Regions from separate parts of the Mus musculus genome. Here all the other regions are reported to be linked to region 1. The links are microRNA targets in miRTarBase. Many come from high-throughput screens and were not tested one by one. Region 1 holds a microRNA gene; each other region holds the end of a gene's coding sequence.

Region 1 (7,120 bases):
GGCATTCTAACATGCAGTGGGCTGTTCTTTTGTGGGTTATCTTCTTGATTTGGATGCTGTTAAACTGAACTGCCCCTAAAAAGCTCAAATTCAATATAAAAGGTGGCAGGACTTTATTCTGTATCTGCTGTGTGGGGAACAATTTTTTAGCACCCAGCAAAGTGTGTTCATTTCTTCCTTAAGGTTAATTTTTGAGAAAGTCCAGTTGAGCCTGAATTTGGCCATTAGGAATATGGGGTGGGAGTGTACATCGGACAAGGAAATCTTTGTGTATTCTCTCCTTCCCAACAAAAATACAGCAGTGCCTGAGAGGAAAAGTTTGACTGGCTCAGCTGCCTCCTACCTCAAGGCTTGCAGGACTCCAGGGCAGGGGGTTCCTGTAGAGGGCTGGGAATGGTAAAACTTGGTGAGACGGAAGGGAAACATCTTACTAGCAGCTAGGGCTCTCTTTTCCAAGGCTGGCTCTGACCTCCAAACTTTTTGGTGTTGGGAAGGGAGGAGAGGACAAAGGTACTTCAGGGGTTTGAAAGCAGTTTTGTGGGAAGAGCAAACCAATGCTCTTAGGAAGCTAGGTCAGCATGTGGGGAGGAGTTTAGTGTGCATGTCACATGTATGTCAGGCATCCTTGAAAGGGCACAAGGTGGCATGAAGGGCATGAGGGAGCATGCAGAGAACGGGTCACAGGCTTGTAGGCATGGTGGAGAAATGTAGTCAAGGGCTTTACCAGGGTTGATCTAGGAATTGTATTTAGCACCATGCCCAGAGGGAAAGTTGCCTAGAGAACATTTGGGGGGAAGAAACCCCTTTTTCTGCAGGTGTACTGGAGCTCCAGGAGCTCCCAAGCCCTCTGGGCACACCATTCTGAGCTGTAGGGGAGTGAAGGAGACAGTTTAGGGTGTGCCCTTTTCTCTGCCCCACCATTGGACATGGCTTAGTTCTGGCAAATCATCCAAGCTGCCAAAGCTTCTAGAACACCTCTCCCCCAGCTGGTTTTGGTGGTGCATACAGGCTTGTAATCTCAGCACTTGGGAGGCTGGAGGCAAGAAGATCAAAATTTCAAAGCTGGTCTGTGCTAAAATAAGTTCAAGGCTAGCCTGAGCAGCTTAGCGAGACTGTCACAGAATAAAAAGTGAAAGAGGTAGGGCTTAGGGGCAGTAAAAGAGGTCTGGGGTAGTGGGGCTTGCCTGGCCTATAAGAGGCCCTGGGCTTAACCCTCAGTACTTAAATTAATTAACAAGCCTCTCTCAGAAAAGAGCATTAAAACAACATAGAGAGAAAAAAACAACATAGAGGTTTGAAAAGAAAATAAAAGAAAGAAAAGAAAAAAAGAAAAGAGAGGGAGATTCAAAATAAATAAATAAATAGACAGATAAATAAATAAATAAGTAAATAAATAAATAAATTCTGGCTAAACCTGGTCCTGAGAATGCCCCAAGACATGGAGAGATAAGGCTATTTGCTTGCTATCATCCTTCTGGTAGGGAAACATCTTGTGGGTTTTATCTCATCTCAAGCTGGCCCCACCCACAGCCATGCAGCCAGCATTAATAGCAATGAACATTCAGACATACTCCGTTTTGGGTGAGAAGCACTAAGTTAAACCTATTAGCCACCACCTTCCATCTAAGCAAGATAAGCAGTCCACAGGTCTGGCTTTGTTTTGGGCTATTCATGGGACTAGCAGATAGACAGACCCAATGGTTAAAGTGATAGTCCCCTAAATGGACTGCTGGTGACTCCGTGTTTAGGGGTCCCTGGTTACAGGAACTGGCTGGTTTAATCTGACCAGCAGGATTTAGGCATCTCAGCCAGTTTTATAGAAGGGACCCAGCAGAGGATAAGTAGGAGGATGAAGGGACCGCTCACTGGCACACAGAGCAGCTCCTGGGGCCCATGGTTGCTCTGAGAATTTCGATGTACCTAGAACCCAGATGTTGCCCAACAGCAACTGGCTACTCCCCGGTGCTTTTCTGCTTCTGCTTCTTTGGTGGAGAAAAGGACCTTTCTGGCTGGACTGGATTGAGAGCCAGGTGGAGGAAGTTGAGGACGGGGACAGAGCTTTGCCTGAAAGGCATCTTCCTTGGGGAACCGAACCCAGAGCTGGCACTGCATGCCTGGGAGCCTGGAGGAACATGGGTAGAGGGAAAGACCTATTAAAGGTCTCCAGGACTTGGCCAAATTCTGAGTCTCAAAAGCAGCTAGGATTCTGTGGTTATCTGCAGATAGGGTCAAGGAACATTCCCCTGAAATGCAGAAAAGAGGGCCCCCTTTGCTCGCCCATTGTCTCATAGCAGGAGACTCAAACTGCACAGTCTTCCCTTCAGTGAGGGTTTGAGTTGAAAACCTTGAACAAAAGAGACCCTTGCCTCTCCTAAATATTAGGATCACAGTTTGGGAGGAATTAGAACTCAAAAAGACTCTAACGGTGGGGTGAGGTGGGAGGGGGTCAGAGATAGAGTCTCCAGTCCGCATCCCTGCCTCAACCTCCTGGTGCTGAGATTACAGATCTCTTCTCTTTGAGGGAATTTTGCCCTATTTATTTTCTATTTTTGCGTGCTGGTCTTGGTGCAATGTACCGTAGAGCCCAAAAGGAAAATGTAAGATCGACAAGAAGAGCGAAGGTGGCCATCAGAACCGCAATTGGCAATGGATTATAGACGTGGCAGGCGGGTTGTAGATGAGGCAGCAAAAGACTAAGGATTGGCATAAAGACATTGGATCCCATTCTCTGGGGGAGGGGCACCCCAATTGCACGTCTTGGACTGGCCTGGGGAGGGAGGGGGTCGGGCATGGAAAGGCTGGGGGGGAGGGGGGGAAGAAACGAGACAGTGACGTCAGACCAGGTATAGCCAATCAGGGGCTGACCTGAGGAAGGAGTGTGAAGGGATGAATGAAAAGTCCGGAGCCTGAGAGCGCCCCCGCCAGAGCAGCGGCCAAGGCTGAGGAGAGAGCTGGGACTCGAGACCCTGCTCCACCCTGCTGGCTCTCGCTCGGCCCCATTACCTGGCAAGCCCCGGCATCCTTGACCCACGTCCGTGGCGCTGCCTGGGTAGGAACGCGCCTGAAGACCGCGCAGGACACTACCACTGGGCATCCTGGGTTTGATGTAAGTGGCCTGACCCGCGTGGGGCACGAGGTGGGGAAAGCGCCTCAGAGTCCAGCGCGCGCGTCCGCCACCTGCGACCACGGAGCTCTACACCCTCTGCACGGTCCCTGGACCTCCTTCCAGTGGGTTCAGTCCAGATAGCCCCCTCCAGCCACTAAGGGCATCTCTCACTCAGACCCCCAGTGGCATATTTCACATCTCTGAATGATTTCGGCTGCGTTTTGCACAAAACCGGCTCCCGCGCGGTTCCGTAGGTCCAGGGCTCGGAGCACCTGCCTGGTCACCCTTTGCCCTAACCCGCAGCCCCACGTCCTGACTGCTCGCCCGATTCTCTCTGGGTGGGGTCTTTGCCCTTGGGAGAGTCGCTGGGGAGTCTCTAGATCACCCTCCACCCCGCCGCCAGCCACAGGCTTCCCTCTGGGCCTCGGGGTTCCCCAGTGCTGGGGTTCCCGTCCGGGGCTTCGCGGCCGCTCCCCTGCAGTCGGTAGCTCGGAGCAGCTCTGCGAGCTCGGCTCTGCCGCACCCCGCGGAGCTCACACTCGACCTTCCAGAGAAGGGTGTGGACACCGTGGGAGGTTGGGGAGGCCTCGGCCTAGGCTTCTGCGGTCTTCCCGGATGGCACGAAGGCCCTGGAGCCTTTCCACTAGCACCGGCGGAACCCTGCTTCTGCACGGAGGAGGGAGTGGGAAATGGGCGGTCAGGCTTGGGGCCGCTTGGTTTCAGCCTAGATTCCCGACCTCAGAACCGTCGGCGGTAGCATCTTTTCCTCGCCTTTCTGAGGTCTCGTCGTGATAGTGCGTGAGGTCCTGGATCCCATCTTTTCGCCTCCACACCACGCGCGTCCCCCATCCGCCGTCGAGCGACTCGAGACTACGGAGGTCCAGGCGGTGGCCGGGAGGCTGCGTGGAAGAGGAGGAGGCGGCCAGGAGGCGGGGTTGGTTGTTATCTTTGGTTATCTAGCTGTATGAGTGGTGTGGAGTCTTCATAAAGCTAGATAACCGAAAGTAAAAATAACCCCATACACTGCGCAGAGGGCCTGGAACGCTGGTAGTGGCCGAGCTGCAGGAGGGAGAGCCGTGCCAGGCGTGCCTGGAGGCTGGAGGGCTGGGGGGAGGGGGACTCGTCGCCTTCAAAGGTTGCTCAGCCCGAGCCACCTCGCGATCCCCACCCGCAACCTGCTCACCTGGGAAGAAAGCAAGAAGCCGCTCTGGGGTCGCCTCTGGAGGCCTGGTCAAAATGGAGCAGTCTGGGCCTCAGTCCGGAGAAGCCGCTCCCGGGAGAGACAGAGCCCTTGGCTGAAGGGTTGGGGGGAAAGTGCAAGCATCCCTCTCCCGGTCTCGACGCATCCCGGGAGCGGGTGGCTGGTGTGAGCAGCTTCCCTCTGGCTCTTCGAAGCGACTGGTGGAGTTCGAGGTTCGTAGGATGTCTCTAGAAAGCTGGTTTTTGCTTTGGTGGTTTCCCTGAAGCCCTTCAGCTTTACTGGGAGTCAAGATTGCCCAGGTGGGAACAGGTCTAGGAGCGGGGAAGGCTTAAAAACCAACACACACATCGAACTTATTAGGGAGAATGGCGATGCAGAAACAAAGTAACCACAAGGGCAAGGGCCAGAGTGGCCAGAGACCTTTTTACCCCACAGGAATTCTGGGACCCTGGGGCGCAGGTTCTTTGCTTTCACTTTGGCCTTCAGGACCAGAGCTAAGTCTAACTGAACTCTCTCTGGCTGCTTTGTCATTAGTGGCTAAAGGTGTAGAGTTGGGGTGGGGGGCTTTAGAGCATCCCACCTTTCGGTCCTAACCTCACTCTTGGAAATCGTGTCCCAAAGGAACAAATGGCCTCAAGGAGCTCTGTGGAGCTCAAACACAAAGGAATGTGTAGCTGTGCTGCCCAGAGAACGCAAAGAATTAGAGAGATTAATTTGGGCTCCTGTAAAAAGAATCTATTTATCTTGCCTGACCTAAATATTTTAGTGAAAGAGGGTTTCTACAGCTGAGAAGATGGTCTAACAAACATGGCCAGAGCTAGGAATCCCCTCTGCTCTCATGGCCCTCAGCCGAACTTGACCAGCTGGCACTTGGAGACCTGGGCTGTACCGACTAATAAGAGGCAGAAAACTGGGCAAAATGTCATCACCCAGACTCCGCTGGTTCTTATAAATTTAAAATTTCCTCCCGGGACCTGATTTTACAGTTAGAAGATAATGATTCAATTTTGTATTACATGGGGGGAAATATTAGAGAATCCAAATTCAAATTCTGGGACTTCAGGGAATCTATTGCCTGTGTGTGTCTTCTTTAGCAGTTAGGGGAGGGAGAGTCGAGTGGCCTCTTAAATTCCAGAAGCTTGGAATTTGTTTTGTTTTGGTAGGGGTGGTGGGGATGAAGCTTAAGTCAAGGAGAAAAGAGGCTGGGTCTAGGCTGGAACTAATGGTCTGGCCACAGCCTGTTTTCTTTTTCCGCTGCTTGAGAGATGCCATGTGATCCCATGTTACACAGGCACAAGTGAGCAGCTGACATTACTCACTGGCTTGACACTCAAAGCTCCTTCCATTTACTCTGTCTTGGAGAAAGTGACACTCCCCACCCCAAGGGAGCCAACTGGGAAAGTAGAAAGAAGGGAAGCCTCTCTGTTATTGGGAATTTGCATGGGCAGAGGAGGGGCATCAATAAAATAAGCTTCCTTATCATTACCATCTTTAATGTTTCCTGTATAGTGTCTTCACTGTAAATTCCAGGACAGCCAGGGCTACACAGCCCTCTATCATAGCACAGGCCTATAATCTGAGCAGTTGCAAAGTAGAGGACGAAGGATCAAGAATTCAAAGTCATCCTTGTCTACACAGCAAGTTCTTGGGCATCCTAGAGTCCCCCTAAACACACACACACACACACACACACACACACACACACACACACACACACACCACATATTCCCAGGAACACTTAGAGTCTCAGTTGCTAACCACAGTAGTTTTATATTATTGTTTCCCATGAGCACATTGGATCACAGGCTCTTCAAAAGAGAGTAGAAGGCTTTAGGAAAAGGAGGAATAGAGGCTAGGAGGTTAGGCTGCTAAGGGTTCATGTCTTCTTTAGATGCACACTGACTGTGTATGTGTACGGTACTCAGCAGGGCAGCAGGTGCCCTTTGTGAAGTCCATGTGCCTAAGGGTGAAGAGAGGGAGGCAGCCTGTGTGGATTGGTATAAGGATGTGTGCTGTGCTAGGAAACTCAGCTGGGACACTGGGGATGCTAGAATGTGGCCAGGCAAAACCACAGAAAAGAGCTGGGGTTTATTAAATGCAGACATCACAGTGATACCAAAGTCTCCTCCTCCTCCTCCTCCTCCTCCTCCTCCTCCTCCTCCTCCTCCTCCCCGTCCTCCTCCCCCTCCTCTCCTTTGTTTTAATTATTTATTTTGTGTCTGTGGTTATATATTTGTAAGTCAGAGGACAAATTATGAGAGAGCCTGTTCACTCCTTTAACCCTGTGGGTTCAGGAGATGGAAATCAAATGTCAGGTTTGGTGGCAAAGACCTTTATCCAGAGATATCTCCATGGATCTCTCCTTTTTTTTTTTTAGAAAGTGTTGCCCAGGCTTCCGTGGAACTGATGACAATTCTCCTGCTTCAGCCTCCCAAGTGCTGAACTTCCCCTCTTTATATCATATAGCACCCTCCCTACCCAGCTAAACTGTGTAGGAGAGCTCCTTTGGTCTGAGTTCATGTTTTGTCCACTTGAGAAGTCTCCTTTGTTTAAAAACTGCCATTTCTATTCTTCAGTCTGCTACACACACCAGACTTACTGGAAACCAATTTCACATCTGGTTTCAAAGATGTCTGTCTCTGCGGGTGTGTTTTGCCTGCATATGTCTATGCACCATATAGTAATGCCCTCCAAGGCAAGAAGAGGATGCTGGATCGCCCTAGAACTGGGGTCACGGATGTTTGTAGATGTTGAGAATTGAAAACTGGATCAGTACAGCCAGTGTTCTTAACCACTGAGCATCTTTCCAGCCC
Region 2 (7,120 bases), not on the chromosome of region 1:
CGGTACTCAAAAGCAGGAGACCTGAGGGCCGGGCACTGGCTGTGAGGAAGCAAACCCTGCTAAGCATTTCGGCCACATCTACCTCAGGAACGGAGAGAGCTGCTGCACTTTAGCAGAGTAGCTGTTGATTAAGGAAACTGTCGAGTGACTATCTAGAAGCCAGGCAGGAGACTATTTAGGTGTGCTTTCATTACATGATCACAACAGTTATGCTACCGTAATAGGCTAACAGGGCATGCTAATAGGCTTTGTGAGGTGCCATCTGTCAACTGACAGCAGGAGTGGCTTTGAGGATATGCTGTCTAGCAAGGAATGTGCAGCTTTTTATGGGGGGAGTAGGCCTGGCAATCTTGTTTCTTTTACTTAGACCTTAGGCACTTTGATTTTCCTGAGCCTTTTTCCATGTGCAGATCATACTGCAATTTCATCCATATGTACATACATATGTATGTCAGGGGTTGATGTTCAATCATTTTCCTTAACATTCTCCATCTATTTTTTGAGATAAGTTCTCTCATTCGGCTCCTCTGGCTGGACACTGAGCTCTACAGACCACACCTCATCTAACTCTAGGGGAGGACTCCGATGCACACTGCTATGTCTAGCTTTCACAAAACACAACACAACCGTGTGTGTATGCTGTGTATGACCAGAGGCCAGGAGAGAGTGTCAGATCCTCTGGAGCTAGAGTTACAAGTGTGAGCTGCTTGAGACCGTGCTTGGAAACCAAACCTGGGCCCAACTCTCCAGGCCTCACGTCCAGGTTTTTAAGTGAATGCTGGGGACTGGCCCAAACTCAGGTCCCCTGGCTTGTGTGGAAGGCACTTTACTAAGCAAGCCATCTCCCCACCCCCTCGTCCCTAGTTTTAGAAAGCATGTCTGGTCAGTTGCCTCTCCGTCAGTTTTGATTTTTTTTTCCCCTCTCCTCTTTACTCTTGATTTTGGTGGACAAGCTGCTGTGACATTTGGAAACTGTGATTTACCTTGTATACCTCTGTTAGTGACAGAGCTGTTAGGATACAAAGACCCATAGTAAATTTCTCCAATCTCTTGAGAGCATATATTCTCAGTTGACGGTTTCACAGACTGGTACAGGTTTTATCCTTCTGCACTCTGATAAACACATATACAGTAGGCATGTGTGGGAGGAAGTTAAGCGAGTAGTAAGTTGCTCTCAGGTCTCTTTTAACTTTTGGTGGGTTGTGTTGTTGCGACCTGTTGAGTTCTTAGTGAAGTTGGGGTATGCTCTTGCATAGATCAGGCACACCACACCCAAAGCCTACTATACACCCAGCTTTGCCTGCCACCTTGTGTTTTTCAAAAGTATAGAGAACTTGAAAGAAAAGTTTTAGTGTGTTGCTGTTTCCATACCCTCTTTCTGTAGATACTAAAACAACCTTTCAAGGGCCAAGGTGGTATGGAGTCTGCCTAGCATCACGTGCAAGGCTGTGGCTGGAAGACCAGCAGCCCCTGCTCCATAAATATGATTTCAGCTTTGGCTTCTCATAAATAAGTTATTCTTGGTGACCCTGAAGTAGTTTCCTAGTCAAGTCTTAAATCCCAACCTTGTTGTATATAATTTTTCCCCCTCTGAGGATGGGTGTGATGAGAAATCAAACCTAGGTCCTGCGCAGGCCAGGCAAGTGCTGTACTACTGAGCAACGACTCTTGCCCCTGTTCTGTAATCTTATAAATAACTTGCCAACCTTATTACTTTGTAACATTGTTAAGCTTGGTTTCAGAGTTTGTTGTAATTTTTGTAAGGTACTTTAAAACACACTGGGCCCACGTTTACCTTAACATGTAAAATTTAGGTTACCCCTACTTTAGGTATGTTTAAAGAATTGGCTGGATTAGGGATGAAAATCCTAAGAAAACTCTTCAGTCAAATAATTCTTTGTTTATATTACTAAAGTTTTACTAAGTTGGAGAAGAAAACCACTGGACTACACTACACACTGGACTACATGCCTTCGTCTCCCTCCAGCATGGCACTCTGGTCCTTTCTAACAGCACCAAGTATTTTTAGGTAGACAGGGCCACTTCCTGTGTCGCTTCCATCCATTCCTATTTCTCGGTCTGAGCATCAACCCCACTACTCCCCATGTTAGGACTAGCAATCCCCAATAGCACACGCGCTCCTCAGTTGCCCTCTCTTTCCAGAGCCATTCCCACATTCCTAGCACCACAGCTTTTTTATTTGGAAGACGTCAAGGGCCAACTCTTGGTCTCTTCATTCTGTAAGATTCCATCTTCCATTCTGGCAGCAGCCCAGTCCAAGACATCTGGCTTACAAACTGTTGTCTCTTTCAGGACCGAATCATCAATTTAGTTGTTGGCAGCTTAACCACCTTGTTGATTCTAGTAAGTACCTTTGTTTGTTTTGCCACATTTGCTCTGTTGGCCAGTTTTGAGAACTTTTAGTGTCAATTCTCCCCAAGACTTTAAAAGAGGGTACAAACATGTGTAGACTATTACAGTCATGGCAGAGTGAATCAGTCAACCGCACTTGCCATTGTTGCCTGCACAGTAGTACACCTGTACAAGTGATACCGTGATAACCAAGTCCTCTACCAGTGGTCACCACCGCTCCCATTTCTCTTAATGCCTTAAACTTGCTTTTAATGCCTAAACAAGTTTTAAAAGACTTATAGGATATTTTAAAATTCTGTATAGCACATTAGATACACATTCTATATAGGTCTATCAGACTAAAAAGCTAGTTTCTAAAGTCTGATAAATACGGATTAAGTTTGTCAAGAGAACAAATCTTAGTTTGTCCTTTGTTTAGTTTATTTTTTGTCTTTAGAAACAAAATGGGATTCAGAAACCCATGTTCCATAAAACTAAGCCAAGCCGGCTTTGCACATACTCAGTTACTGTTTTCCTTCTAATTTTGCCCTTTTAATTTCCATAGCATCTTGGCAATGCTGAAAACAAATAGCTGCCGTAGCATGTTGGGCTAGTTTTGATAAAGTGGAATGCTTCGTGAGTTCGCATGTCCTCCTTGGGCTGGGCCATCCTAAGTCTTCATTGCCCCAGTCTCAGTGCATGTTCTGCTGAAGAGAACACTGGTTACCTGGTAGGAATATTTAGAATACTGAGATAAGCACAGCAACTCACTGCTAATGTTGGTTGCTTGTCTGGCCTTCTTTCACACTTGCTGGACTAGTCAGAAGTGCTAACTGACTTGAAGGTGACGTTGTGATGTAAGAAGTACTACCTTGCCTTGCCCCTGTCTAGCCACACCTTGGAATCCCACTCAAGGCCTTACATGTTTCTCTCCACACAGGTCACACTGATCAGTGCTTTTGTGTTCCCTCAACTACCTCCCAAACCACTGAATATATTTTTTGCTGTCTGCATCTCTTTGAGTAGTATTACTGCCTGCATACTTGTGAGTACTATTTAGAATTAAAATGTTTGTAAGCGCTTACATGGTAGTGCTTAGACAGATTGCTAGCCCCTGGGTCTATAGAATAGGGTATCTCTCCTTTAATCTAACCCCCCCCCAATTTACTTCTAATAATTACACATGGGTCCACTTTGATTTGTGATCTTCCCAGAATATCGACAATTAACATCACATTTGTCAGGAAACAAAGAGACCCCTTTGTGTACCAAAACCAGCCCCCACCCCAGAGGATGGTGATTGGTTCTCTGTTTTTTAGGCTAACTGCTGGGTCTGCTTTCACCTTAGGAAACAGTCAAACCTTGGTGTGGCACTGTGGTTCAGTGGGAGAGGTGATCTAATATGCTCGGGCCATAGGTTTGACCTCTAATACCTACCATTTTTTAAAAAGCAAGTTTTTTTTTTCTTTAAAAAAAATTCCTAAATTGTTGCAATCCTACATAGGTTTTAAGCATAACATTTGAGCAGAACTAGTCCTAGGTTGAATCTTTGAAGTTTTCTCATCTCGTGTGTTCTACAGCCCTGAGTGACCAAGGTTGAGATAGTTAAACTATGTATTTACTTACGTAAGCCCTCTTAACAGACCTAATCTGAGTGCCTTCCCTTCTAGTAACTCAAATATACTAAAAATGTATCCAGATATATATTCTCATCTAACTTGATTAGTATACTACTTTGACATTAGAACCCAGTAAATAACAAAACCAGGAGTACATAGGGAAACGCTTATTAGCGCTACTTGAATCATAGGGGATTAAACTGAAGACTATCTCAGGACAGTAATCTCTAATGCTATCCATATGAAAGAAGCATTAGTTGTATTTTACACTGTAACAGCTGGTCATACTTAAATTTGTATTTGATTCTTCTTTTAGATCTACTGGTATCGACAAGGAGACTTAGAACCGAAATTTAGAAATCTAATTTACTATATCTTATTTTCTATCATCATGTTATGTATATGTGCAAACTTGTACTTCCATGATGTGGGAAGGTGAGGCTGCAGAGACGAAATACTTACCAGGACTCTTGGAAATCTATGTGAATTTAACTGCTGCAAAAAAGTATGCTGAAGACTCATCGACAGACGTGTGGTACATGATGTTTCCATGTTAACTGTAAATCTCAATCCCCCCTGCGAGGGGGCTGCAGCATAGATCTCTGCTCTCCTTTAAAACGCCCACACATTCCAGCCCTCAAATAGCAAGGAATTCTCACTTTTGAAAGAATTTTTTTTTTTTGTTTTTGTTTTTTTTTTTTTTAACAATTTAATTGCATGGCTCAAAATCTTGCATTTTAAGACAAATACTCTTTTATTTCTGTTAAACTGAATATACAATTATTGTTCCCCTAGGCAACCAACTTTTGCTTATTACTACAGTTTTACATTAATAAACAGATGGTGAAAAGACAGCTTTGATTGTGAAGATCTAATTACAATAATAAATAAAATAATTTATACAAGTTTCCTTTTTTTTTCCTCCTTTTTTTGGACTTTTCTATAAGGATCATATCATTAAAGCCCTACAGGCTAGTTTTGGCTTTACCTTAGGAATGACTCTTGATTTGTTTTCTTTTGATACAGAAGCAAATTTTGTTTTTTAAAAGTGCCTGAGGGAGAAGCTATAGTGTACCCCCAGCAGGTAATGCACGAAGTGAACAGCATACTCTAATTAATACCCCTCACTATCTTCTGGGCAATTTATATGTAAAACATGTCATAAAAAAAGTCATGGTTATCAGACACAGGCAATATGACCTCTCCCCTCATTTAATTTCACTTCAAAGTGCTAGCTGTAAACTAATGACTGGTTTCTGATGAGAGTTGATAACTGTTTTGTTACCACTTTAACCACGTTCCCTTTAAAAGTTAAAAATCAAAGACCTGTAGTGAATTTTCTTAACTCTGTAATGCTTTGCTTCTTTACCCTGCCTCAGTCAGCTCCCACTGCCAGCAATGGGTTAACCAGCACAACCACCCCCCATAATGTGGTATCTGGATGCTGGTCATGGTCATGTCATCAACTCCTAAGTTAATCTTTCTGAAAGTCACTGCTAACATAAGCTGAATTACAACCAGCCCAGCTTGAGTCTGGACAGAGCTGTGTCTAACTGCAGAGATGAGTATTACTACTTATATTTAAACCAGAGTAGTTAAGCTCTGGTGATATAAGTAGCTGCAGTGACTGCAACTCCCTCTTGACATAAAACCTAACAAGTCTGGGCAATTCACACTTCCTATCCTCCATCATAACAACTGTTATAAAATTGGACCTCAGATGATCTACTGAGAAGGAGGTAAAAGTAACAGCAGCAACAATGTGCATGGCTTAAGCATGGCAGCTAAGTACAAGCCAGAGGAATGGCAAACCACAACTCCTGGGATGGCTCCTTTCTTTGGAGACAATGTAGTCACAATGTGGCTTCTTGAAGTACCTGTTTCTAATAATCTAGTGACAGTTTACTAAGTCCTCAACATCCTTTGAGTCTTCAGAAACAGGACTGCCCAAAGATGATCCAATTATATTTGATGCTTCCTGATGATGCTGGAATATTGGATCTGTAATGAGTCAAGTTTAAATAAAGTTAGTATTAAATGTGTGTTTCTGATTCTCCATTCAGTCCAATAGTTTACCAAAGTGTAGGATTTACCCAATAAAAGAACACTGATAGATCAAGAGAAAAGTTAGCATGGATGCATAAAACAACAGCCCGATTCCCCCCATCCCCTTACTATGTATCAGGCTCATGATTAAGTCTCAGTAGAGTACCTGTTAGTGTTGTCAAAGGCAAGACAGATTCAGTATCTATAACATCAGATGCCTGGATAAAGCCATGAGGTGAAGGAACGATAAGTATTGTTTCATCATCAATTGTCTGATGAACTTGGTGCACTATGGTGGGAGACTCTAAATCCTACATGATATTTTAAAAAAAAAAGGAGAAACTGATTTACATCCCAAGTGTCCATGTTTGTTAGTACTTAGCTCTCAAATATATTCCATCTGAAAATTAGAACATAAAGGTTTAGACCTTAGAGAAAAGAATTATGTTGCACTGTGGGATATATGTAATTTCTAAAATCTACTATTACCCATACCACCCAAAGGTGATCCAGGAGTTGATGGCAACAATTTGTTGCCTGTGAAAAGGGGACACTTCAGCAAGGAACTATGCCCAGGTGTCTCTGCCTGCTCATTTCTGTCAGCAACAAGAACACATTAATTTATAATTTTTGAATTGAAACTCTGTGAGTAAAAAGAAAAGAAGAAGGTACTAGAGCAACTGTTCTTCAACCCCTTTGGGGTTGCATATCAGATATTTATATTCCAATTCCTAACAGTAGCAAACGTATAGTTTTATGGCTGGTCATCACCATAAGCTGAGAAATGCATTAAAGGGTTTTGGTGTTGGGAAGGTTGAGAACCACTGTCCTACAGCATCTCTCCTTTAAAGCCCTCCTGAAGCCCACGGCAACACCAGCTGCAGTCTTCCTCAGAGCTTACCTCAGTAACATAAGCACTGGCTAAGTCAGACGGCGGTTCTTCCTGCTTAAGGTCAGTGTCGGCAATTTCTTCCTCTGTTCTGACCATGACACTGTTCATCAGTTCTGTGCTATTTTGGTCGCTGAATTTAGATACATGAGCATTATTAAATGATGGTTGTATAGTCATCTTAGGCCGAGGAATTTCGTCTGGGAAAGTGTCT
Region 3 (7,120 bases), not on the chromosome of region 1:
GCTCAACAAGTTCTTGAGAAGAACTTGTATAATGACCTTGAAGATTTCAGGCACTTTCCTAAACTGTCAACGGCAATGCACATCTTTAACCCAGCACTTGGGAGGCAGAGGCGATAGATACAGCACAGCCATCTTAATCATTAAACAGAACTATCTGTGGTACATTTGCTTTCCCTCTATCTAGTATTCTAGGAGATGAAGTTATGGGAATCTGGTCCAGACATGCTGAGAAGGCGGATGTCACCTGTGCCTGTGTGTCTCACTCAGGAATCAGCCTTGTGACAGGAGATGACTTTGGCATGGTTAAATTATATGACTTTCCATGCCCAGAAAAATTTGTAAGTCTGTGTAGCATTTTGTATTACTTTAGTTGAATCTTAGATGAGTCACCCTCCCCCCCGCCCCCCCCCTCCCACATATTTTAGAACGTTGCAGTTCTAACATGAAAATCCTGGAATTTTTATTTCTAAGAGTTTCCTCAAACTTTCAATAGCCAAAGTAACATTTCCTAGAAACAGACCTTTCATGCTAGGTGCGGTGGTGTCCACCTTTGATTCCAGCACAGCAGATGTGAGGCAGAGGGGCAGAGGCAGGCAGATAGATTTCTAAATTCAAGGATAGCCTATGTTTTGTCTCAAAAAAACCCAAACCATCCCCATAGTCTTTGGAAACTCGTAGGAAAGTTCTGATGAGCTTTTATGAATCAAATCTACAATGATTAATAGCAGATTCCAGCCCCTCCCCGTTCTTCAGAGAAAAAAATATGACTGCCTAAATGACCTAGTTTGTTGTACGCAGACCTGTAAACTTTTACAAGAATCCCTGCTCTAATGATGAATTGTGCTTTGTTACTGGAACCTTTGTGTAGATCACTGCTGAGGGGGCTTTGTTTCCATTTCAGGCAAAGCACAAGAGGTTCTTGGGTCATTCCCCTCATGTGACAAATATTCGATTTACCAGTGGTGATCGGCATGTTGTCAGTGCTGGAGGCGATGACTGCAGGTCAGTGCTTGGTCGGCCCAGGAAGAGCATGATTACCTTTCACTAGGAAGACTTGGTAACTAGATAGATGTGGCAATGAACACAGCCAGAATTTATCAGAAGATAACTAGTAACTTCAAAGCCATTAACCTCATAAAAACACACCAAAACGAGTTATTGTAGCTGGCAAACTCTTCTGAAAATCTAGAATGTGATAAAGCTCCTTGTCACTTTTTTCTGATTGCAGTTTGTTTGTCTGGAAATGTGTACACATGCCTCACTGAAAGGTATGATGCTGAGAAGACTAAACAAATCTCACCTCAAGAGACCAGTTCCACGTTGGAAAAACCAAAACCAAACTGCATGGTCAAGTGGTGCTAACTGAGGACTGTGACGGGGAGGGATGTGCAGAATCATCCACACTGCAGCACACAGACAGACAGACGGTTTAAAATGCCTGCTGTATGTACCGACCTATCGTCCACACACTGCCAGATAATTACATTGCAAGAAATGACTGAGTATTGGGTAAAAGCCAACCTCCTCCTCTTATTGAGGAGTGTGGAATTTTGGCAGACTTGCCCAGGAGATTTTTAGGGTATAGCAGTCTGAAAAACAAAACAAACCAACTTCATCTCATTTCTAACGTTTCTCCTTAAGGTTTGTTCGATGAAATATTTCACCCTTATACAAGGAAAGGAATGGCCAACCATCACCCGAATCTGTTTTCAAAAATGCAAAGATTTTTCGTAAGGGAACTTACATTAATAAAGTACCCTCTGCAAAGGCCATGTTACAGCCTGAACTAAGGATAGATCCAGAGTCAGCAGTACATGGCTACTATATTTTCATTTTGAGCTGTGTTTAGAAGCCATCTCTATAAAATTATGAATCACAATTATGGCCTCATTAATAGGAAAATAATACAGTGAACTTCATTTCCAAGTTTTCTTAAGGTTCTGTGATAGCCAGAGCACTTAACTGAAAGATAATACTGCATATTTAAAGGTATGATCTAACTAATAAACATTTGTTTATTGTGTAAACACAAGCATTAAATTCATATACTAATAAACCTGGGCATAAAGTTTTATAGTTTTGTATTGAGAAAAATAATTTAATTAATTAGATGTATGCCACCCTATAAGGCTATTTTCCAAAATGACTGACTCCAGGTTCATCTGAAGAGCTCAGAGTCCTTCCACTCAATGCTGCCAAAGACTGGGACTTCCTGTCTAAGACTTTGCTGTTTTAGCCTCACTAAAGTTTCCTCAAGATGAAAAGTCCAGTAGACTGCTGCATAAAAATTTATTTTTCTACGTGTGAAGACACTGAGGATGCTCTACTGGTTGTTTCCACTTTTATTTCACTGTGTGAGTTATTGTTGTAGCAGTAGACTCCAACCCCTCAGGCTTCTGGAACCCTGTTTGGTTTGATATGTTTTCTATGGCTAAAAATATTGTGACTATTAAAACCAGAAATGAACACATCGCATCAAGGAAGTTTTGTCTAAGCAGTGCTTGGAGCATGGTCAGTTTTAAAGCTGATGAGGAGATTGCAAGAAACTTAAAGCTTAAGATAACGTTTCTAATGCTCATACTGAATGGTCCATCTAAACTGGTATTACATAAAATGGTAGTCAATATATTAAAGAATTCCTATAAAAAGGAAAATACTTCAAATTTAAGCATGATATATATAGTTCTAAGGTTTTCCCCTCTGGACAATTTGCTGGCTTTTAGTTACAGAATATTTTTAATTCTGTAAATTCTGTAATGTTAAGCAAGTAAACCATAAAGTAAAAACTGCTTCTACTATTTTTGTCCTTCAGAGTGGCCAGCCTGGTAAGTCAAGTCTTTGTCACTGCACTGGTCAGTTCTGTGACTAAAGACCAGGGATCAGGCTAACTCTTGAGTAGTCATCATATGGCCACCAACTGTGAAAAAGGTAATGAATCAGAGAACCTGCCCTTTAGTTTTTAAACCCAGAAAACTACAGTGTGTGCCTGCAGTATATGAATTAATAGCCCAAGACTGCCACCAGCTACTGTGGTCCCACTTGTTTCCTACGTAAATGCATGCCAAAGCACACAGTCCACTCCAGTGCTCTCCATTACCAGCCATCATGCCTACTTCTTCTCTGGGTGACTCCTTAGGGTGTTTCATTTAAAACAAGTAGTCAGTAATTGCTTTAGGTTTAGAGTAAGCTTGTCTATAACTTGTAGAATTAAACAATAAACCATTTAAATGTAGGGCTAGGACACACACATACAGCTCAGTGCTTATCTTGCATTTGTAAAGCCCTGGATTTAACCTCTAGCACTACATAGAAATGAGGCATGCCTACAATCCCAAGTGCAAGCACAGAATCAGAAATCCAAAATCATTCTTAGCTACATAGTGAATTTGAGGCCAGCCTGCAGTACATGAAAAAAAAAAAAAACCCAAACGTTTTAAAATGTGTTTCTAGTCACCGTTCAGTAACAGAAAACAATTAGATTGTCACATGTCATTTCCTTATAAAAAGCTAAACCATCTAAGCCCTTGTTCCCGGTTTCTGGTCCTTTACTAGACAATTATGAGAAGACAGACATCTACACGTATTTTTTTACAAAGTGGTAATGGCCTAGTTCCAAAGCTGAACCCTTAAATTCAGTGTCCTCACTGTATGAAGAATTGCCATTTCACCTGAACCTGTGCAGCAGACAGCGTTAGGCCCTGGTCTCCTTTGTTCTCTTGCTGTTTCTGATCTTTACCCTCTGGGGTTAGCATGGTCAAGGCCAATTTATCAAATGGCTGAATAACTAGCTAATTCTGTTATCTTTCAATGGAAAGGCAATGACCACAGTAGAAGGCTGGCTTCACATTATTAAACACAGACTTTTATAGATGTGACTTTATTGTATCTTAACAGTTAAATTTGGTCCTCAAAATGTTTGAGCTTTTATTATCCCCTTTGCTAACCACCGTTTACACTTTAATTTTTAAAACAACACGTTTTTGAAATCAGTTGTCTGTTATTTAGTTCTAAAACATGACACATCTTGCCTTAACAGTTTCAAAAACCACACATAAAACTCCATAGTACAGTAGGCCAAGTTTCATCCTATTGTCAAGTTTACCTTCCTATCTCTGCAATATAGTTCTGTCATTTAAAATATACCACTTAAATCTCAACTTCTACATTTCAAGAATGATCTTTAGTAATAACATAAGTATATTTTCTGTGGGGTTATTTCTGATGATATTTTTCAGAATATGGGAATATATACGTATATTTATATTCTTGTGAGTTCAAAGTCTGTTTTCTGATACTTTCTGTACATATGCCTGTAAAAATTTTTGTATACTTTTGTGATAATGTAGTCCCTCCAAAATTACTTATAAAATGATAAGCTAATAGTAAATGGGAGCATTCCAAAGAACTGTCCATATATTTTTACATCGTCATTCCAACTATGCTTACCCTTTATGACCATGTCTCTGCTCACTTTCAGAAAGGCACAGGACCTCGGTCCACTCTACCAAAGTAGCACTCAAAATAAAGTCTGCATTATGCTTCTCAGAGCAAATTCATTTAGACACTAAAAAAAGAAATTTAAACTAGTTGTTCCAAAGCTGCCTCAGTTTCAAAGCCTGGCCACTGTTACCACGCTGGGTTACAGACACTGCATTACCTTTGGGAAAAGCTGAAAAGTGCTTCAGCTCTGAGGACACTGGCCTTCCCACAGCACTACAGCCCTAAGCTGCAAGTACCATTACCAAAAATGATATTAAACAGCAATGTACAAACATGCCGCAAATGTTTTAATAGAATTTGGCTTTTCTTTAAACTGTCTTTTTCATAGTCAAAACGAACAAACAAAAAATGTTGAAACCACTTAATAAACTTACAAACTTGAAAAATTAGACACTTCAGTGGGGCAGTAAAATTCGTATTATGAAAGCAATATATTCTAAATTTCAAAGACGTGACAAGTTCTGTAGAACATCTCTCATCAGAAGATGGAAGCTTTCAAACTGCATGATCTTCTGCCAGGTAGGACTAGGGCATCACTCACTGGATAAAACCAAAATTTTTACGTTAACTGCTTTGCATATAAATACCATATACATTAGCTAAAAAGTTTTGTCTTTAAATAATTCAATTATGCAGTTTAACTTCTAGGCCACAGTAAAATATTGTGAAACTTCAGTCTAAGGAAACTGATGTGGAATTCCTTTTGTTTTTTTATGTATGTGTGAGCACACATGTGGCACCCAGAGGTCAACCTCAAATGTCACACTACCTACACCCTTTCAAATTCAGGGACTCTCAATGGCCTGGAACCCATCAAGTAGGCTGGACTGCCTTCCCAGCTCTACATACTAAGATGTCCCACATTTTTACATGGATTCTGGGAATCAAATTTCAGATTGTCAAGCTTGTGAGGTAATAAGCACTTTAGAGACCAAGCAGTCTCCCCCCCATCCCTGCTTTGAGACTGCTGATCAGTGTGTATAATACATCCACACAGACCAGTCTGCTGGCCTTGGTGTTGCATCTTTACTGTGTATGCTCACAAGTTTTAGAAAGGCTGAAGGGTGGAGCTCACTGGGTACCTATTATGCATTAGGCTCTGGATTCAATAATTAGCGCCACAAAAAAAAAAAAAAAAAAAGAACCCATCTGGAGATGATGTAGACTAAAAAAAAAGTCATCACTGGATAAATTTGGTTCATGTAGTAAATCATTTTTGCTAAGGAATTCTTTTAAAATTAATTTTAAAGGAACAGGGGAAGAAATAAAACTCATTGTCCCTCAGTTTGTGTGCCTATACAACTGAAGAACACAGACAGTAAGATGTAATTCTAAATGGCGTCAGCGTTTAAAGAACGAACTTAAACCCTCACCTGCTCTGAGGTCGAATCCATTTCAAGGCGTGTCTTGGTGGCACAGTAATGGTGGGGTGATAAAATGTGCAGTCAGGTCTCGTACACTGAGTGTTAAACCTACAGTGCTGAACAGAAACGAGAGGAGCAAACCTTAAAATCTTCAAGCTAATACAGGAACTGCGCACCTCACTCTAACGCTAACACTCCACAGTAACACCACTGAAAGCCTTAGAAAATACACACAAAACCAGACATACACGGAATTTAAAATAAAACGTACACAAAAATGAAACCCAAACTTCAGAATGAGAGATTACCACTAAAACCATTTTTTAGAAAATAAAACTTCTTACTTTTGGGTGGTAGAAGGGACATTCCATTTTCTTACAAGCAGGGAAGTAACGGCAGAGCTGGCCATTAGAAGACGGTGCTGGTGACGACACTGACAATCAGAGTGAACAATGCTCAAATCTATTTTGGCAACAACATCTTTTAATGCAGTTACTGGTAAGGTTAGTATCATTTAATTTAGAACAAGTTTTATCAGTCAAGATAAAATATAGCAGAGTTCTGTAAGAAAGGCAGATTTGTTCTTTAAATACTAAAATCATTTCTAAAACTATTCTTTTGTTGTTTCCTATCACTTAGAGCCAGAAAATGTCGTTTTCTTCTTTTTGACCTGACTATAACTGCACAAAGTTACTAACCTGGTTTTGGAGTCAGTATCGAGGCTCTTCTACTCATGTGAGTGAAGGGACAATCTGCTTTAGTACACTTTGTGTCATATTTACAATTTGGATGCACAAACAAACATTTCTCAGCAAATTTACAGTTGGGAAAGGCTCTATAAAACAAAAACAATTATTATTTATATTTAACATCTCAATGACTTAGGGTTTTTTGGGGGGGGTGGGGGGGTTCTTTTTAGAGGGACTTCACAAACACCATGCCCGGCTGGAAAGATAGCTCAGGTTTTTCAAGCGCCTGCTGCTCTTCTAAAGGACCTGAGTTCAGGTCCCAGTACCAACACTGGGTAGCTGGAGGCCTGGACCTCCAGCTTCAGGGGATTCAATGCCCTCTTCTGGCCCCTGGAGGCACCTGCACACATGTGATATCTAGTCTGCCTGTCTCACATACACAGTAATAATGGACTAGGAACACTGTTCCATGGAGTACTTCCCTGATAAACATGAAGCTCTGGCTTCAATACTCTGTGGTGGGGGTGAGGAGTAGGGCGGGGCAACTAGTACTTTGTTAAATGATAC
Region 4 (7,120 bases), not on the chromosome of region 1:
ACAGAGGATTGGAATCTACTTCTGAAAGCCCATAACTAAATTTCAGGACTTAACTGAAAATATAAAATTTAGGCTTTAGAAATTATATAAATTATTTCACACTGTAGCGGTTGCGGCGAGCACTGTCTGTTTTGCAATGTTAAATGGATCTGTCTTGTTGCAGATGTGGGCGATAGGGATCAGTGTCCTGGTGATCATTGTCATCATCATCATCGGTGAGTTACCCATGGTCATAGACGTTCGTCTGTGCAGCAGCAAAGAGTGGATTCAGTCCAAGGTTTAAATATCGTTCTTTATCAAGTATTTTAAATACTTGAGGGTGTTTTGAGATGATGGTATTGCGGGAAGTTTGAGGCAGGGTCTCGAGGCAGGGTCTCGATGTTCAACCCAGGCTGGCCTTGAACTTGTGATCTTTCCGCCTTAACATTTCAAGCGCTAGGATTATAGGCCTGTGCCACCAAAATGATCCTAAATATTTGAGTTTTTGTAATTAAAGTCTGGTGTTTTGTTAGATGGATGATGGATAGATGGGTGCACTTATCCTTTAAGAATAGCAAATCTCACTCCTAATGTCTGGTCAATTTTTCTCTCCTGTGCAGTTTTAGTCTGTGTCCTTTTGTGGAATGTAGTGATTAGCTGAGTTGATCCATCCCAGCTATGCCACCTGTAGTAAGGCTCTGTGACTTTGGGCAAGCAGTTGGGTCTGTCTGGACCTCAAGTGTCCTCATGAATAAAATGAAGATGGTAATGGTGTCCACCTTGTGTTGTTAGGACAAACCTGGTTATTACATAAGAAAGTACCTGGCATAGGAGAACAGAAATAGTAATTATGTAAATAATGTATATAGCTAGCACATAGCTACTCCCACCACTCTTGTGACTGCATATTAGAAGAACTCACTTTATTTTCATTCCAGTCTATGCGAACATCCTAGCAAAGCATGCCTTCCTTTGCTAGTTCTTGTTAGTATTTCCTTTTCCACTTTTGAGTTTAGTCTTCCCCAGAGCCCTGTAGCATGTAAAGAAGCTGCCAGTGGAAAACTGGCCAAGTCAGTTTCTCTCTGTCCCTCTTTAGACAGTAGAAGTCCATCCCTACTGAGTATTTGCACACACAAAGACTAACATGCCCTTTTCATTGTTTCTAAATCTTCCCTGCCTCTTAGTGTGGTGTGTCTCTTAATGAAGAACCGATGAAACTGAAGCCCGATATTCAGGATCTTCTTCAAGACTTTCTACTTAGAACCTGCCGTGTTATCGAGCTTACCTATTGTTTTTTTTCCAAATGATTATTTTTGTTAGTTTACATACAGTTTAGTGCCTAGAAAATGTGCCTTTGTTTTTCATATACACTCCAAACTGGAGGTGTGACCTACCCTCCCCACATTTTGCACAGTGCCTTTACAGATTTCTGGACTGGGAAAGAGGACTTGTGTAGTTCTGAGTGCTGAATGGAGGTGGATGTTGTCACTCAAGATGACTTGTTGTGGATTCCAGGAAGGGGGTTTTGTTCAAGGCAGCTGTCCCCACATCTGACATCATCTTCAAAACCACATTTTAAACTTTTGGGTAATTAGATTCCTAACTTGGACCTTCCAAGAAGAACACTACTGCCTAACAGCAATGGGTGACAATAGCAGGGTGTGCCTTATTTTGATAGCTAGGAAACTGTTCTTTAAGATTATTCTCCGTTTGTAAGCACTACTGACTCCCGCTGTATTTAAGATGCTGGTGAAGAGCTCATGCTCTTATGTTAGATATGACTATGTTTACTTTCTTGTTCTTGTTGTATATCACTCCTAAAATAGTATTTTAACCAGAAATAACCCTTTAAGAAGTTTTTATAGAACTATGACCAAAGTTTCTATTTTGCCAAAAGTTAAGTACAAATAAATTGCCCCAATAGATACATTCAAATAAGTGCCAAATGTAACTCAAGGTGTCCTTTAAGAAAAATGTTAATACTGTGAGAGCGAGCCTTCAACATGTCGGCAGTCCATCCTGTGAAATGCTATAGAGAAGGCTAGTCATTCTGATTTGGTTTCTTCTTTAGAGCTATGGAGGTGGGCTCAGATCACACCTGTAGACAAGATACTTAGCCAGCAGTTTGTAGACTGAGCTAGGCTGTGGTCTCTAGTGCGATGTGAGCAGTAGCCGTGCAGCCTCACCAAGGCATCAGTCTGCACAGAGTTCCAGAAGACTGTGTACTGCTTGTACTCATCTCTGTCTTATGCTTGAGGTAAGCCACCGGTCACTCGTAGAGGATAGCTAACCAGAGATGCCTGGTGCTCTTAGAATGTAGCCATTGCTGTCTGGGACAGTTTCATTGTTTATATGAGACTTTCATCAAGGCTTGGTTCAAAGACAGGAGTTCAGGCATGGGTGGAATTGAGGAAGTGGTGAAGGGAAAGCTGCTTGCCTATGGCAGTGCCACTAGAATGTCCTGAAATCTGTGTTTGTGTGTAAAGCAGCATTACTCAAGATGTCATAGAATCTGGTTCTAGTTTTTTGTTTTTGTTTTGTTTTTTGAGACAGGGTTTCTCTGTATAGCCCTTGCTGTCCTGGAACTCACTTTGTAGACCAGGCTGGCTCGAACTCAAAAATCCGCCTGCCTCTGCCTCCCAAGTGCAGGGATTAAAGGCGTGTGCCACCAACGCCCAACTGGTTCTAGTTTTTTATCTGTTCCCCTAACATTACTGAAACAATACAGATGTTGAAGATATGCCTTGCCGCATCAGCCTAGGGCTTCTGTCCTGGTCTGACCTCACAACTTTGGTGCTGTCTCCTCATATTCTGTCCCATGTAACTCAGTGGCTCCTGTATTAACACAGTGATACCTCGCTTCTCTGTGCATTTAGCTGGGAATGTTCCCGGTATGGTGACCAGAATAAAGTTGTTTATTAACATGATCCTGTGTCGTGTTTCTTGGAGTGGAGTTGGGAATACACCTGATGCATGTCCTAAACTTCTGACCCTTGATGCTCCCCCTCCCTCCCTGACAAACTATGTTTTTTTCTTATTCATTATCCTAGGAGCACATATTCCTGTGAGAAGATGTAGATCTCACCCTGTGTTAGGGGACTCTAGAGCAACAGAACTAATAAGGTGAACATATATTTTTAAAAGATTTTTATTATGTGGTATGGTCTACCTCACACTGAAGATGCTGAGAACCTGATAGCTGCTTAGTCCATGAGGCTGAGTTCCTCAGAAGTTTCCATCTGGTACTGTGGGCCTGGAGGACTCCTGGAAAATCTCTGGTGTTAAGCCCATGTGGAAGCCCATGTGGAAGCCCATGAAAACATACTGAGTTCTGATAACATCAGAGTGCAGCAACAGCAGGGTAGATTAACTCGCCTGTGAGTGAAGGCTTGCAGGCAAAGAGCAGAGCTTCCTTCTCCTATCTTCCCCACTTTACATACTCCGAGCAGGGAAACCCATCAGGAATACCTGGCAGGCTGCCTTTTAGTTGATTCCACATACAATGGAGTCGACAACTGGAATTAACCATCATATACCTTAATGAAAAGTGCTTTTCAGAGCAGAGATGAGTCCATAGCTGGTTTGCAGTTACCAGACCAGTAAGGATTTGGCTATTGGGTTTCTTAAATAGTGTCTTCTGGAAGTGATTTGTAGAGTTGACCCTGGTACACCACACAGCTACCAACCACACAGGTAAACTTAGGGGAGGCATGTCCCAAATGTGTGGCTTTTTTTTTTTTTTAATCTGCCTTCCTTTGAATATATTTCCCCTCATTCCCCCACTCTTGCAAACAATGTAATATAGACCGGGTAGGATTTTGTCTATGTTTACAACATAAAAGTCTAAATACTTTTCCTTAAGCACAAACCCCATCACAATCTGGCCCTTCCTTTCTCCCATTGCTTCAGGTTCTTTTTTTTTTTTTAGATTTATTTATTATTATTATATCTAAGTAACTGTAGCTGTCTTCAGACACACCAGAAGAGCATCAGATCTCATTATTGATTGTTGTGAGCCACCATGTGATTGCTGGGATTTGAACTTGGGACCTTCAGAAGAGCAGTCAGTGCTCTTAAGCACTGAGCCGTCTTTCTAGCCCTCGCTTCAGGTTCTTAATGACTAACCTGTACTTCACAAGGATGGCCTGAAAGGGACAGTGCTTTTCAGTTCTGTTAGCCCACCCATTTCCCCCACCCCAAAGGATCACTCAGATTCAGTTCCCCTTCTCAGCGGCCCTCCCTTACCCTCCAGCCTGTTCCCTGGGGCTCTTGCCTCCTTCCTCTGTCCTTCCCATTCCTACCAGTTTATGTCCTACCAGCATCTTAGGCTTTCTTGACTTTGAGGCATCATCCATGTGTTGTATGTTGAGTATGAGAGAATTTGGTTCTGTCCTCAGTACAATAATCCCTGCCCACATGTGCACCCAATGGTCGTACAATGAATGTTTCTTGAAGAACTCAGGAGTAGAGTAATCCAGTGTGGAGAAAGACTTTTTTTAAAAATCGGTCATTTGCCCAATATGAAATGTGGATACTTGCTCTCTGGCATTTTCCCCTTCTCCTTTGGCCTGAACACTTTCATTCATCCAACAAATACTTAGTGTATTTTTTTAAAGATCTTATTATTTATGTGGTGTATGTCTGGATAGCGTATGCTCACTGTGCAGGTGTCTTGATGGATGAGGGCATTGGATCTCCTATAACTGGAATTACAGGCACTTTGTGAGACACTGATAGAAGATGCCTGGGAACCATCCAAAGGAAGAGCAGTAGGTGCTTAACTCTCAAGTGCTGTGCCATCTCTCCACCCACTACCGAGTGTGTTCTTGATGTACCCAGGCAGCAGAAGGCTGGAGCTCTGCCCTGTACCTTTCGTTTCTGAAGGGTAGAGACAGTTATGTAAAAGGAGCATCCTGGCTGTTTCCTCGAAAACAGAGCGTCGCTTACAATACTATCTAACTCCTGTTGCCAAATGAACCTGTAACTCGAGGGCAGCCAAGGACCTTACCTTGTACCATTAAACTTGTATTTCTGAAAATACGGTTGGATTCTACCTGGGTTCACTCACCTATATTGGCGGGTGGGAGAAAGCAGCAAGTTTTGGAAAGATGAAAACAATGGGAACCCCAAAGCACTGCATTCCTGGGATACCGGGGAGCCCCAGAGGCCTGCGGACTCACAAGCGCCACCGGGTCCACTTACCTGTTGGCTGCGCGGACCCCGCCCTCCCGTGACTGACAGCCCCAAGGCCACGCCTCCGGGAAGCCCGGCAGTAGACTTGCGCGGCCCGGCCCTGTTGTCTTCCAGGCCACTCCACTTGGCCAGGATTGGCCGAGAGCCGCCCTCGCCCGACCCGCGCGTTATGTAAGGTACTCGGGGGCCTTTGCACCCGCCCACCCGCCCGCGGTTATGTAACCCCCGCCGTGCACGACCTGCACCCCGCCCTCTGACCAATGGGAGCTCGTGTTGCCGGTAACAGCGACCAATCGCGCGGCGAAGGGGCGGGACCGGATCCCTGGCGCGCAGGGGGCGGGGCCGGCGGCCACTGGGCACGCGGACGGCCTCGAGACTGGACTGCCCGCGGGTGGGCGAGGCTCTGCGGGGCGGCGGCGAGTTGCTCGGCTGGCGGGACGCCTGCGAGCCCGCACGGCCGGGCGCTGCTGCCCCTGCCTTCTGCCCGGTCACGCCGGACGTTGCTCTCTGAGGTGTTTCTCGATGCTCGCCGGCTTCCCAGCAAGGACGGTGGAAAAGTTGTTGCAGGCTGACCGCGCTCCCTGAGAGCCCCGCTGGTGGTCCGTCCAGCCAGCTTCCGCCATCGAGCTGTCGCTGTAGCTCGTCACCCCAGCAGAGTCTGTGGAAATGCTGAGGAGAAAAGTGCCCCTCAGATGAGCGTGGTCGGCGACCAGTCTTTCCCGAAGGCGATGGCAGGGACCAAAACAAGCCGGGTTTGGTTGCTAGCTGCAAACTGAGAGAAGCAGGCTGAGGGCTGCCAGGCGGGATGGATCCCTGTGGAGACCCGGCAGTACCTGGTGGCGACTGTCCCCAGACTAGGGGACCGGGGCTCCAGGGGGCGTCTGGCCAGGAGGGTCCTCTGCAGGGCACTTGCGTGGACAGCAGCCACAGGTGACGCTAGGAAGTCTCCCCACCACCCTCTGTGTTTATTGTCCTTCCCTGGAGCAGGGAAAGCAGGATTTACAACTTTTTATTGTATTTTTGATCCCGGGGACGCGGTAGGGGGGGGAGGCGACCTGAAAGGGAACTTCCAAATAGTTCGGTGAGGATTGATGGGAGGGGGAATGTTACTAAACTAAATTACCAGAGTACGGAAAGAAAGAGGAAAGTGGTTAAAGAATTTGACGGAGTTGGGACTGAAGGGAGAATGAAAGTGTAGAATGTCCCCTACCTGGAAGAGAAAGGGCATTAAACCTGTGACCTGGGCTAGTTGAGGTGGCCAGACATCCCTAAAAATCAGATATTCCTTGAGTGTCCACCATTACGGTTTCTTGTTTGTTTTTTTCCTATTCAGTGAACACGAAGACCGAAACAGAATGTCTGAAGAGCTTATAATGGTTGTCCAAGAAATGAAAAAGTATTTCCCAGCCGAGAGGCACACTAAGCCCAGTACCCTAGATGCTCTTAACTATGCCCTGCGCTGTGTACACAGTGTGCAAGGTAAATGCATTGCAGCGAATAGGGTGGCGCTGGGCTCAGTCCTCATGTGCAGTGGAACTCCAGCCTCCAGAGGCTTGGGCTTTATTTGTAGCCAAGACAAGCAAGTCTAAAGCTGATGTAAGTGGTGCTTTAGGCTTTCCAAGTTTGAAAAGCCAGCAGAACGTTATTTGTCTGACAGTTTAGTAACTGTGCAATATTGTGCCTATCTGTTGCAAGAGTAAAGAGTTGAGCAGTTTAAGTAAAACTCAGAGGACTTTTTCAAGGAGCATTGCCTTCCATGGAGATTACACGAGCAAATACATGTCTGGGTTGTTTTTTTCTGTCATGCACACACTTTGGAAATGCAGTTGTAGTATATACAAAATAGACTAAATCAAAGAACAAATGTTTTTCCTTCCCCCAGCAGAAACCGCTTTGCTCAGTCTGTGATCAATAGTTTGTGAATTCTAGTGTTTCCTCCATTAAAAAA

Evidence for each region. Region 1 holds the annotated microRNA mmu-miR-9-5p (UCUUUGGUUAUCUAGCUGUAUGA, at 4,052-4,074, shown strand). A microRNA usually pairs through its seed, bases 2 to 8, with sites in the 3' UTR of a target mRNA and lowers its output. Matches are read on the target gene's strand: a 7mer-m8 pairs with bases 2 to 8, a 7mer-A1 pairs with bases 2 to 7 and ends in A, and an 8mer does both.
Region 2: miRTarBase lists Dmtf1 as a target of mmu-miR-9-5p. Seed matches in the 3' UTR shown: 7mer-A1 at 5,807-5,813.
Region 3: the mRNA of Eml5 is a reported target of mmu-miR-9-5p. Seed matches in the 3' UTR shown: 7mer-A1 at 2,196-2,202, 7mer-A1 at 4,398-4,404 and 7mer-m8 at 4,504-4,510.
Region 4: the mRNA of Vamp3 is a reported target of mmu-miR-9-5p. Seed matches in the 3' UTR shown: 7mer-m8 at 1,852-1,858.

What each region holds. Positions count from the first base shown.
Region 1 is chr3:88,211,562-88,218,681 of GRCm38, forward strand. It overlaps Mir9-1 (microRNA 9-1), which reads left to right and starts at 4,037; the gene lies at 4,037-4,125. The region is part of intron 2 of Gm3764 (predicted gene 3764); the gene reads left to right. Mir3093 (microRNA 3093) reads left to right here and starts at 3,610; the gene lies at 3,610-3,696. It overlaps Gm25641 (predicted gene, 25641), which reads right to left and starts at 4,109; the gene lies at 4,052-4,109.
Region 2 is chr5:9,114,167-9,121,286 of GRCm38, forward strand. Dmtf1 (cyclin D binding myb-like transcription factor 1) reads right to left here. Exons shown (of 18, transcript NM_011806.3): 16 at 6,919-7,120; 17 at 6,184-6,328; 18 at 4,702-5,972. The coding sequence ends at 5,863. It overlaps Tmem243 (transmembrane protein 243, mitochondrial), which reads left to right. Exons shown (of 5, transcript NM_001081029.1): 3 at 2,314-2,364; 4 at 3,293-3,397; 5 at 4,288-4,817. The coding sequence ends at 4,410. Among named protein-coding and RNA genes, the nearest start is that of Tmem243, 17 kb to the left of the region's middle.
Region 3 is chr12:98,784,495-98,791,614 of GRCm38, reverse strand. Eml5 (echinoderm microtubule associated protein like 5) reads left to right here. Exons shown (of 44, transcript NM_001081191.1): 42 at 185-338; 43 at 902-1,002; 44 at 1,229-5,011. The coding sequence ends at 1,265. Zc3h14 (zinc finger CCCH type containing 14) reads right to left here. Exons shown (of 17, transcript NM_029334.2): 14 at 6,563-6,699; 15 at 6,209-6,297; 16 at 5,874-5,980; 17 at 3,841-5,040. The coding sequence ends at 5,034. Among named protein-coding and RNA genes, the nearest start is that of Gm35463, 14 kb to the left of the region's middle.
Region 4 is chr4:151,043,090-151,050,209 of GRCm38, reverse strand. It overlaps Vamp3 (vesicle-associated membrane protein 3), which reads left to right. Exons shown (of 5, transcript NM_009498.4): 4 at 164-215; 5 at 1,164-2,905. The coding sequence ends at 1,180. Per3 (period circadian clock 3) reads left to right here and starts at 5,545. Exons shown (of 21, transcript NM_011067.3): 1 at 5,545-6,102; 2 at 6,506-6,651. The coding sequence starts at 5,978. It overlaps Gm38529, which reads right to left and starts at 5,357. Exons shown (of 2, transcript XM_017320565.2): 1 at 5,182-5,357.